Linked DNA regions of Mytilus edulis. The protein of the gene in region 3 interacts with the protein of the main gene of each other region in a pairwise test. Links are inferred from orthologs where the notes say so. Each region holds a gene or a part of one and is shown on either strand. Other genes may lie near its edges. The genes, in order: GTPase KRas-like, ras-related protein Rap-1b and serine/threonine-protein kinase B-raf-like.

What was found.
Region 1: the proteins of serine/threonine-protein kinase B-raf-like (region 3) and GTPase KRas-like interact in a two-hybrid assay, tested with the Drosophila melanogaster proteins (2 studies listed by BioGRID). The link is inferred for Mytilus edulis from reciprocal best matches to the Drosophila melanogaster genes Raf and Ras85D.
Region 2: the proteins of serine/threonine-protein kinase B-raf-like (region 3) and ras-related protein Rap-1b interact in a two-hybrid assay, tested with the Drosophila melanogaster proteins (2 studies listed by BioGRID). The link is inferred for Mytilus edulis from reciprocal best matches to the Drosophila melanogaster genes Raf and Rap1.

Annotation. Positions count from the first base shown.
Region 1 is NC_092350.1:17,274,293-17,278,134, forward strand, and holds the start of GTPase KRas-like, read right to left. Parts: upstream 2,434-3,842; 5' UTR 2,292-2,433; coding exon 2,261-2,291; intron 1-2,260. UniProt on the Drosophila melanogaster protein: Ras proteins bind GDP/GTP and possess intrinsic GTPase activity. Plays a role in eye development by regulating cell growth, survival of postmitotic ommatidial cells and differentiation of photoreceptor cells.
Region 2 is NC_092344.1:96,278,238-96,282,079, forward strand, and holds the start of ras-related protein Rap-1b, read left to right. Parts: upstream 1-1,091; 5' UTR 1,092-1,295; intron 1,296-1,426; exon of another isoform or gene 1,427-1,668; intron 1,669-2,810; 5' UTR 2,811-2,823; coding exon 2,824-2,880; intron 2,881-3,842. UniProt on the Drosophila melanogaster protein: Ras proteins bind GDP/GTP and possess intrinsic GTPase activity. Plays a role in photoreceptor cell determination.
Region 3 is NC_092344.1:73,763,602-73,767,201, forward strand, and holds the start of serine/threonine-protein kinase B-raf-like, read right to left. Parts: upstream 2,209-3,600; 5' UTR 2,161-2,208; coding exon 2,056-2,160; intron 1-2,055.

The DNA.
Region 1 (3,842 bases), on a different chromosome or scaffold from region 3:
TTTATCTATCCATTTTCAATCACCAGTCAACACATGTATCATGTGTATTTACTGATGCTCATTATAGAAATCATGAGGAATTCAATTTGTAACATTTTTTTTTAATTGTTATGCCAATAATGACATTCCAGAATATCTTTGCATTATAAGAGGTTCAGGCTCCTTCTGATTTCAAAATAATAATAATAAACTCATCATGGATACCAGAATTGAAATTTTGTAGGCCAGAAACGCTTTTCGTTTACAAAAGACTCTTCAGTGACGCTAATGAAACAAAAAAGTAAAAGAAGGCCAAATAAAGATGAAAACAGGACTATGGTCTAGTGGGTGTTGGTTTTCTCTTCTGAATTGTTTTACACTGGTCATTATGGAGCCCTTTAAATTGTGGCTTCCTGTAGTTTAGGTAACAAGTTTTCAAGATGAAATGGCATTGAAAAATCGAAGCAAGATATTTGAGAGTTTCTATATTATTGTAAATTTTATAATCTATGCATGGATTTTGGTTCTGATTGAGGGTAGATTAATTGTTGTTTTGTTTTTTTCTTTTTTTCAGATAGATAGTTGAAGATGTTGGAGACAGGAAACAAGAAACAAGAAACTTGTTTTGAATGTTTGAAATAAAATTTATTGTTTAAACCTTAAAAAGTTATCATAAATGTAAGATTAACCAGCAGAAATAAAACGAGATATTGGGTAATATGTCTATCAGACAACAACCTCAAAAATGAAACCCAAATTGTTCTTTATAGAAGTTATGTAATCGATTGAAAATAAGATTCTCAATAAATGCAGCTGTATCAACCTCTCGTAGATTTGTCCATATTTTGTCTTGGTTTTTCATACTATTAGTTTTAAGTGTAACTGTGTCACATGAATGAGGGATACATGTAATCATTTTGTACCCTTACTTTGTCAGTATTAGTTATTGAGTGAGAAACTTTGTGGATGCTGATGGTTGTGTGGTTGTCTTCTTATCAATCTCATCCCCGTGCATAAAAAAAACAGGTTGCTTACTTACTGATATAAAAATGTTTCATGTTGTGGAAATTTTGGATGACTCCTTCATCAATTGATCTATCTTTGGTCTTAATTTTATTTTTCTGGTTATTTTGACATTTGAATATCTTTTAATTTAGCCTTCCATAGTGTACCACCATGAACAAGCATAACTACTGGTATAGTTAAAAAAAAATATGTCTGCTGTCTGAAATTTAGGTGAATGGTTTTGGTATTAACCACTATTTAAATAATATCATATATGAGAAATGTGGCAGTATAATTGTATAATTTACATTCAGATGGTTGTTTGGAGGCTTTTTATATCTTATAAGGTCAATTCTGGCATGGTTCATTATTCATATTTTTTGTGTCCACGTTACATGCAACATTTAAGTCACTATTTTATGACAGAAATGAGATAATTGCAAAAATATTAATACAATTTTTTAATGTGAGGGTAACACAATGAAAAAGAGCCTTTACATGTTCAGAAAGAAAATGATTCTTACTGTATTTATCTCTTAAACATTGCATGTAACATTGACAGAAAAGAAGAGGAAACTTGTTTTCACAAAATTTCTGAAAGAAATGAAAATATACATTTTAGAGTTTTGATGATAGACAAGGTTTTGTGATCAATATATATGATATTAAATGTTGAATAAGTTAAGGAATCATTAATCTCAATTTGGAAAAAGTGTCTATGTTACATGCTCCAAATACGTTATTTGCTTTGATTTCAAACTGACGCAAGTTTAAAAATGATTTTTTTGGTTACAAATAGAAGGACACCATTTGTAGCAATAATTTGTAAAAAATTTAGAAGCTTATAATGATTTTTATTTTTTTCTTACAATGTCACACTAAAGTAGCATTAGTGAATTCCTGCCCATATATCTTTTGTATGTCTTCTGGTAGTACAATTTTTTGTGAAATATATGCATAATATTCAACAGGTTGCATTCTTATAATACTCAGTGTAAATGTTTTGTCATCATGACAATGGTTAATATGTGTTGCTTCTACAACATTTGATCAAGATATTGTAATTTCCCTATCACTAAATGCTCGAAATGATTTAGTCCCTCTACTGATAATGTGAGGAAAATTAGTCATGAATTTTATTGCGAAGTAAACAATGCTCTCATGGGCGATGTCTGTTTTGGTGTCTTCTGAGATACAACAAAAATTTAACAGCTGACACACATCAAGTATCAGTTTGTCACCCATTTCGTCCCTTAAATTTATTAAAAATACAAACCTCCAACAACCACAAGCTTGTATTCTGTCATTTGAAAGACCAGTTCATAAATCCACTCAAAATAAGATGCACAAATATTACAAATGTTCACCACACACAAAGATTTTTAACCCAGTGACCCTCCGTTCTTTGAAGCGAGGCACTAAACAGGCATTGATGACCCAATTTTTGTCAGTCGCATTATATATACCCCAAAATTATTTAGAAACGTAAGGGATATTTGTCATTTCCGAAATTAAATCTTGTCGTCTTTCTTAAAATGCAAGAATATTCATTAATCTGTTTTCTAGATCTGGTTATATTTATTATGACTATAAATTTAAACCTTTGAAAAATCAAGTTTATTCATCTAAACAAAAATGGAATTCAACAGCATTCTGTTCAACGGTTTTCAAGGGGGTTACCTTTCTATAAATAGAAATTATTTTGACTAAAAATAGTAACAGGTAGTCTCACTTGTTGATTCGTTGTTATTCCTGAAGCTTTGAATTACTATCAAAACTGAAGTACAAAATGCATGAGTTTTCTGGTGTTTTTTCTCATAACTATTGCATTATAATTTATGGAGATAACTCTGACAAAAAATTATTAATTAATTGTAAAACTGTGATCCCTGCAAGGTGCCCCAATTTTTAGGTCTTTATCATTCTTGCGCTTGGTCTTTTGGTGGTTTACATGCAATACAAGCATCTTTCCAACAAAGATTTCTTTGGCCGGGCTGCCTCGGTGCTTTCCGTGACTGAAGACCCCAGAAAGAAGATAACTCAAAATTTCAAAGTGCGTGGCTTTCGGACTCCACTTTATGTAGGTATTCCGAGTGATGCCGATTAGCTGTTTCACTTTTCTCGTTTTGATCTTGTATTTTTTTTCTGAAAACAACAGAAAAAATGACGTATAAACACTGCAACATCATGTCCTTGAAAGAAGGAAATCAAAATGGTGGGCGTCACACTTCTTCCCGCGTCCATAATGTCCAGAGTACAACTATTGTCCTCTTAAAGCGGGAATTCTCAACTTTTACGTTTTAATTTTCTTTTGATATTTATTAATATAAATCTACAAGGGTTGAAACAAAGGTTTCTCAACGATTCCCATCTTGAGTCAACATAAATTGTGAAATGGAAATGAGAAAATGCTTCGGTTTTGTTTTTACCAAGGATTTGTATAGTTACTATACAAATCCTTGTTTTTACTAATTTTACTATTTAGTTGTACCAAGGATTTGTATATAGTTGTAAAACTATACAAATCCTTGGTTCTACAAATTATTCAAAAATAACAAAAAGGATAAAAAAGGGAAATTCAGTTGCAGCAACTTAAGGTTCATCATAACAAATGGACAAATATGGCCGTATTTTCACCGATCCGTCCCCACGTCGATCCGGCCCAAGTCTATCCGTCCCACGTCGATCCAGCCCATATGTAAAGTCGATCCGGCCCCAACAAAAAAAAATATTTCTAAGGAATAAAAATAAATATATATTAATTGTAATTCATAAATGTTCATTATTTTTATTTTATACTGCAATCAGCTATTTTACTACACAGATAAAGCTATACGTATAAACGTTAGCTTTATACG
Region 2 (3,842 bases), about 23 Mb from region 3:
CCTTGATCTCTGGTCCATGAAATGAGCTCGAGGTCAGGTTTGTCCACTCTAACGAACATATATAGATCTTACTAGGAACCCATACACCACAGCTTCTTTTGAAATGAAAAATGGAAATATGTCAGAAAGACTTATTACTGGAACTGTGATACGAATTTTCTGCCGTAGTTGACTTTGTACGTTTTGACAATATGGTTTATCGACAGGTAGAATTAAGGCATTCACATGGGTGCTCATTGTGCCCCTTTAATAGCAGACATGTTGTTTAATTGTTAAACCAAATAATTGCTTATGAAACTGACCAATCAATTTATTTTTATCATTTTAATCATTCACAGATCTAAAGAGAGATAACTCTAGTTTGGTCTTGATATTTATACATAGCTGCAACATCTTAGAATTACATAAAACCAGGGACTGTACAGGCCCGGATCCAGCCATTTTAAAAAGGGGGGGGGGTTCCAACTATATGCTCCCATTCAAATGCATTGATCGGCCAAAAAAAAGGGGGGTTCCAACCCCCGGAACCCCCCCCCCCCCTTGGACCCGCCACTGGGACATATAATGTATGTTTCTGATAAAACTAAGAAAAACATCCAAATGAATAGACATTAGACAGTAGACATTATTTTATTAAACCAATCATGGGCCCTTGTCGGGCAAGACACAAAAACATCCGATGATAATACAATAATTATATAAACATTAGTGAAATACACAATAAGTAATACCAGAGACATATATATTATTCTGGTAATACACAAATAATAAATTGATAATATGAGCAATGTAGGATATAACTATGGTAAGAGGCAGTGAGTGCAATGAGGTCGATTTAATATTAAAAGAATATGATATAAAGTTTATTAATACGGAAACGAACAAAAAGTAAAAAGAACCAGGAATCTGAGACTACTATAACACAGTTATAGTAGTCTCAGCAGGAATATAGTATCATTGAATGTTCCACTTATTTCTATTATTTACTTTCTAACCTTAAACATTAAGTCTTATTGTTAAACATTCAGGATATGTCTTACTAATCAGTAATTTAACGACCTAACAGTGCTTTTAGTACTTGTAATTCCTGCGCCCTCTTACGGTTAGTGTCTGTGCGCGGAATGTAACGACTGGATTATTCGGGTACTCGGAAGTTGGGAGTTGACTACTATTTGTCATGCGCATTGACTCTATTCCAAATTTAGAAGTAAATCCGCCATTATCAATATAAAGGGGCCAAACGTCATAACAAACTGTTGTTCACAGTTATATCTTTGAGGGAAATAACTTTTTTGGTAAGAATTCATAATGTCCAACCGTCGTCCACACACTTTTGACCGGACGTTCACTTTTTTTGTTAAAGCTTTAAAGTTTTAGCGATGGATTCCCCTCGGAATATGGTTCAACTTCAGCAGGAAATGCCAAATGTGACGAAAACAACTTTGTGTCGATGTACCTTATGATCAATCATCCGTCTTCTTATGATCAATCATCCGTCTTCTTATGATTAAATATTTTGACACTTTTCAAAAATATGTTTCTCTCTATTAGTGATGAAAATAATTATATATCTCTCGGAAAATATCAGGTTGATGACTCAGTCCCATCCCAGATTGCAGGCTGGGTACAATCCTTCAAATAGGTCATTGTAACCTGCTTGAAGTTGAGGTATGCAATGTAAATGTTTTCATTTTTCGATGGTATTTATTTCAAACTGTTAGCAAAATGAGATGAAAAGCTACATCTTCTATTTAATTATGGTCTGTTAGCCCAAAATCATGTTTTGCTCCCATTCTCTTTTGTCCCCTTTCCGACACAATGACTGATCACACCAGACTAAAACCCAACTTGTTGAACCTTGTGTCTGTTTCACATTTTATTAAGGTTTTGTTTCGAATAAGTTTTTAATCACGATCTTATGTTAAAACCAAAGAAAATAATTATTTTGATTTATAATACTGTTGGACTCAACATGGCCAAAAATTCATATTGAGAACCGTGGTCCTTGGATAAATGTCTTATTGGCAATTATTTCAAATATCCTTATTTTGAGTCCCTTAACGACTTTAGGTTTGCACTGTGTCTAAATGATTTAAACCATGACAAGTTATGGATGAGGGCGGATAGGACCTTTATCAGGACTCCAGGGTCGGGTGTTTTTAAGCTCGGATTTCAGGATCCAGGAATTCTTTTTTTGAATCTCGGGATGTTGGGATTTAAATTAAATTATATTCCGGACCTCAGGATTTGATGTTTTTATAACTTTTTAAGCCCTGGATTTTGGGATCCCTCCAGTCCCCCCCCCCCCCCCCCCCCCCCTCATGGATCAAGTCATAATTTTGTTCCATTACAAAAGAAACAATGAATTTTTAACGAGTAAGGGACTTAGTATTGTTAAGTTGAAAATGTAATGAATAGATAATACCATTTGTACTGTAAGGCCAGGGGAGAATACTTGGACTCAATAACCCTTACATGTACCGTAGGTACAAAAAAAGTTTTAGGATAGTAACCGGCACTTGGTTATGGTTACATTAAGACTTTTTAGGTTACAATCATGACAGTGTTGTTGACATACATTGCACATCTAACACTTTGAATTATCAATATTTTGCTTAGTAATAGAATTTTGCCTTTAAATTCTAGAAAAGACCTAATGACAGGCTTAATTTGTATTTTTTATACTTTGATATTAGAACACAATGAATGAGATTTGTTAACCATGCCTAATAATCATGTACATCTACATGTTACTGTATAATGTATATACATTGTAAGACTATGATGTTTTTTTTTCAATCTTATTTCAGATACCAACAGAAAATGAGGGAATATAAACTGGTTGTGCTTGGTAGTGGTGGTGTTGGTAAAAGTGCTCTGGTAAATATGCTCACTATTCAGTTATTAATGCAGGTTTTAAATGTCCAATGCTTGATCATGTTGATACAGTTATAATTTAAAATGTTATGTACATGTATCAAAAAAAGAAAAATAATCCTTCTTGTTATTATTTTTTTAGAAGAAATATTTTTTTCACTTGTGACGTCTCTGTCAATAGGTATGTTCGAGTTCGATACATCATACATTTCCGTCAAAAACTTAATATTTAGTGAACATTGTTCATGCGTTTAGGGGCATCATTACTGTTCCCATGTTGAGCCAGTGGTGGAAAAATTATTAAGCTATATATTGCACGAATTATTCAGCAAATTGAATTCTCATAATAAATTGACAATCAGCACTGCTGTCATTAAAGTATCTTCTGACTGAAGAAACATTATTTCTAGTTCATCCAGTACAATGATGATCACTAAGACACTTAATGAATGTTAATAGTGCAGGGATTCAGGCAATCCCCTCTATCTGGTAAATGACGTCATAAAGGTGTGCATAATTGACGAGTATTTGAAGCTACAAATACATTTTTTTGTAGCTTGATATGTCCAGCAAAATGTCAACCATTTTTATGCAGTTAAGCTGCATTATGCGAGCACCCTAGATTTGTGTTATACCCAATAGATGCTGAAATACTTGCCATTGGTATTATCTAGCTGGCTACTATGTTATATATACATGTTACTAATTGAATACTTTTTTAATACTTTAAATTCTGGAATACAAAAATATGACCAGAAAAACCGTAAATGATTGTCGAATCACCCAAAAGTATTGAAGTTGCACATAGGAAGTAGGGCTCATTAGGAATCCTTGTGTAGTTTATTATGGCCTGTGCTTTTGGCTAAGATCATTATGTCAAAGAATAATTCTATGAAATATTTAATCGCCGAAAATCTCTTAAGACAAGTAGTTTAGATTTCGTAAATGGCAAAAGTTGGAGGAAT
Region 3 (3,600 bases):
TTGATTGTTTCAAAGTTGCTTAACTCTGAGACTATTAATTATATTATGGCCCAGCTTAATAACTTTTATATTTTTTTATGAGAAACACTGAATTTCATACACAAGATAGATTTGAATTAAATTGTAATTGATATATTATAATTTCTTTACATTTTTTAAAATAAAAAAATATTTTTTTTAGTGCTAGAGTAGATATTAAATATTTAGTTGGCAGTTCTCACAAGAACCTTAGTAAAACTTAAACAACTTTTAATTTGAAATGTTACTTTTATTGTATAATCAGATATGAATTGAATAATATAAAAAGAACATTATTTACATATGACCCTTTATACTATAGTAAAATCCAAACAGTGTAGCGCACTGCACGAAAGAGCACTTCTCTTTCAAATCTCTTTCAAATCTCACCACTTCTCCCTATCAATTTCAAAAAAAGAAGTCACTTCTCTCTATAATTCTGAAGTAGTGTGAGCCCTGACAATAAGAAATTTCTTCAGATATTATCAATTTGCAGTAAATATTCATGTACATGTACATGTATTTACTTTAAAACTTCTAAAGATATTAAATATTATTGCTAATTGCTGTGCGTTTAAAAAGGGGAATGCTGATTGCGTAAGTCGTCAATATTAGCATTTATCGCACCGCGGGTAAATGATCACGTTGTGATTGGTTTAACGCCGTCACAAGCCCCTATGAGACCGTAGGGGGCTTTTCATTTCATAGGGGGTTCATGACGCGTTAATGGTGACTTCATCTATTAATGTTGTTTTGTTTCATCTTTTATTTTTCAACAATACGCAGCAGAAAAAGTCCAGCTTGCGATAAATTCGTTATTCAGTTAACTACTTACCCCATACGGATCCATAGAGGTTGTATAAAATCTATAGGGGACTCGGCCTCCGGCCTCACCCCCTATGGATTTTACTAACCCTCTATGGATCCGTAGGGGGTCAGTAGCGAACCAAATAACTTATAGCGTTCCACTTGAAAACTTCTTCTTTATAACTGGATTAAAAACATTTATTTTTTTAATCTAAATTTCAATTTCCTTTAAATGTAATTAAATCGTGCAATCAGTAGTCTATCTTGTTCTCCTGTCAGGTGTGTCGATTTACCTGTTAAAGTGACTAGTGATCTTTATTTAATGATGGCAGGGATCTTTTGACGGTGGCAGGGATCTCTTGACAGTTGCGGAGAGATATTTTAACGCCTGCCATCATAAAACAGGTCATGGAGATCCCCAACTCTACTGTCCATAATATTAATATTTATTTGATTAAAGTACTAGTAGAGAGGAAAAATTCAAAAGAACAGACTCTTCAGGCGAACAAACTCAGTGTGAACGGACCTGATACCATAAGGTATCACCTGCCTCACATGTAACTAATTTATGATCAACAAATCCAAATCAGACATTGAGACAAGACAGTTGATTTGGTCTTTAAAGAACAAAGCAACTAAGTGATAGGTGCCGTTAAGTCATGTGAGTGCAAAATGTCATCTCAAATGATGAGATTGATAAATTAACTTAAAATATTTTATCAAAAAATCTCTTGACCAATTTTACTAGACAGCTTCTATGCACTTGCTACATACAACGCTTCCTTCGTCTTTGAGTTATGTTCTGTACATCAGCATTTGCATAGCTGGTAATTAACGGACAAAAACGTTATATTTTATCTGAATGAACTTTTAACAGTTAATCAAGGTGTTAATAGGTACAATCATTATGATGTGACAGCCTTTAAAGTTAAAAAAATATTGGCTAGGTTGACAGACATGACTGAAAAGGCAGCAATAACATATCTGGGTATTTATCGCAGATTTAAGTTGAATGACTTGTGTATTTCAAGTCTTGTAAATGTACCTCTGACCACATTTTCTACTTTCAACTACGTCTCATGCACATTAGCAAAACAAAAATGTTTTTACTTGTCAACAAATGGAAACCAAATTATGGCTGATGTCGTGAGAAAATTACAATAAATTCAACATTCATGTCATGTATATTTCAATATTTGAGCGGACAATGGGTTTATTTGTTATTTCTACCTGGTCTAATAAATTAGCTATGTCATATGCGTCATGTCTAGGCGGTGTATTTGGTAGATCTTGAATATCCCCATTCGGCATTGTCACTGGTTGAACGACCGCCATTTTGCCTCTTTAAGAGGCTCTCACGTGACCTATCTTACATTATCGTATATTCACGCGATAATTTGACGAGGAATTTCTAGACAGTACAAGTCAGTCGATATTTTTACGCATATGATTAGTCAGACAGTTGTGTAATATTTATCAATAGACCTTACTGTATCAAGTTTTGTCATCTATTATTTTTTTCGGATGACTTTCGCATAACGCCTGAACTGAAAAAAAGCCTTGAGCTTCCTTTGTCCGGCACATTTAAATTTAAGGGGGGCTTGTAGTATAGTGAAATACAAATCCTTGATACATTGAATAATGAAAAAAATGAGCAAACAAAAAAATTAGAAATAGAGAATAACGGAGGAAAATAAAAAACTAAGGTGATACAATACTGATTAAAAAAATGACGAATGTATACAGGAAGAAATTATCCGTTTTTAATAGACTTAATACTAGATCTACACTCGAGGATCTACAGAACTTAACATTCTTAAGAATTTTATTTTTTACAGAATACTGAAGAGTTATTTTAAAAAATAAGTTTTGTACGTCTTAAAAATAAAGAACAGAAAAATAAAGAACCCCATTCATTATCTCATTTAAATGAATCCATCAATTACATTTAAGCGGTCTTAACTTCAGCCGTACTATATCTCCGTCTTACAATTATAATTAGGCATTACTGTACGTGACATTAACTATTCACATGAAACATTTTAAAAATACCCTTTATCAGAGAAAATTCTCTTTTTATGTTGTTCAAGGTATTATGAATTTTGTACTATATAGTATTTATACATTTTGCCTATATTTTCTATTGAAGAGAGGCGGAAGAACCTATTTGGGAATGGCTGGAATCGAACCAACTTATTTCGGGAATTCGGGAATACCAAATTAATTCAACCGTTGAGAATTCGGAATACAATATCAATTAAATCATAATGCGGGAACGGACACTTTATTTTCACGGGAAGGCCGGGACCCCCCCCCCCCTCAGAAATTAAAAAAAACAACAAAAAATGATAAAACAAATTAAAAAATGAAAAACAAGCTGTATGTATCAGAATGATTATTATTGCAAGTAACAGTTCCGCTAATTAGCTCTTGTAATTTTCGGTATATTAGTCAAACAAAAAAATGCATCTTAAAAAAATAGACATCGAATAATTTGAATCTAATAAAGACTTGTAGATCTTGGCATGGTATATAAATGAATATACTCGTTTAAAACCTGTCAGATTTTCTCTATTTAAATTGCCAAAAAAAAAAACACAAACAACTGCCGGCAGTTTGACCCGTATGTTCTAATGTAAAACAAATCACGGTTGTTTATGAATTTAACTTTCGATTTCAGAATACAAAAGACGAAAGAGATTAAAAGAGCAATGTGGGGAATATCACATATGTTTCAGTACAACTCGAAATTCAATAGGACCAAGTGCAACCCTG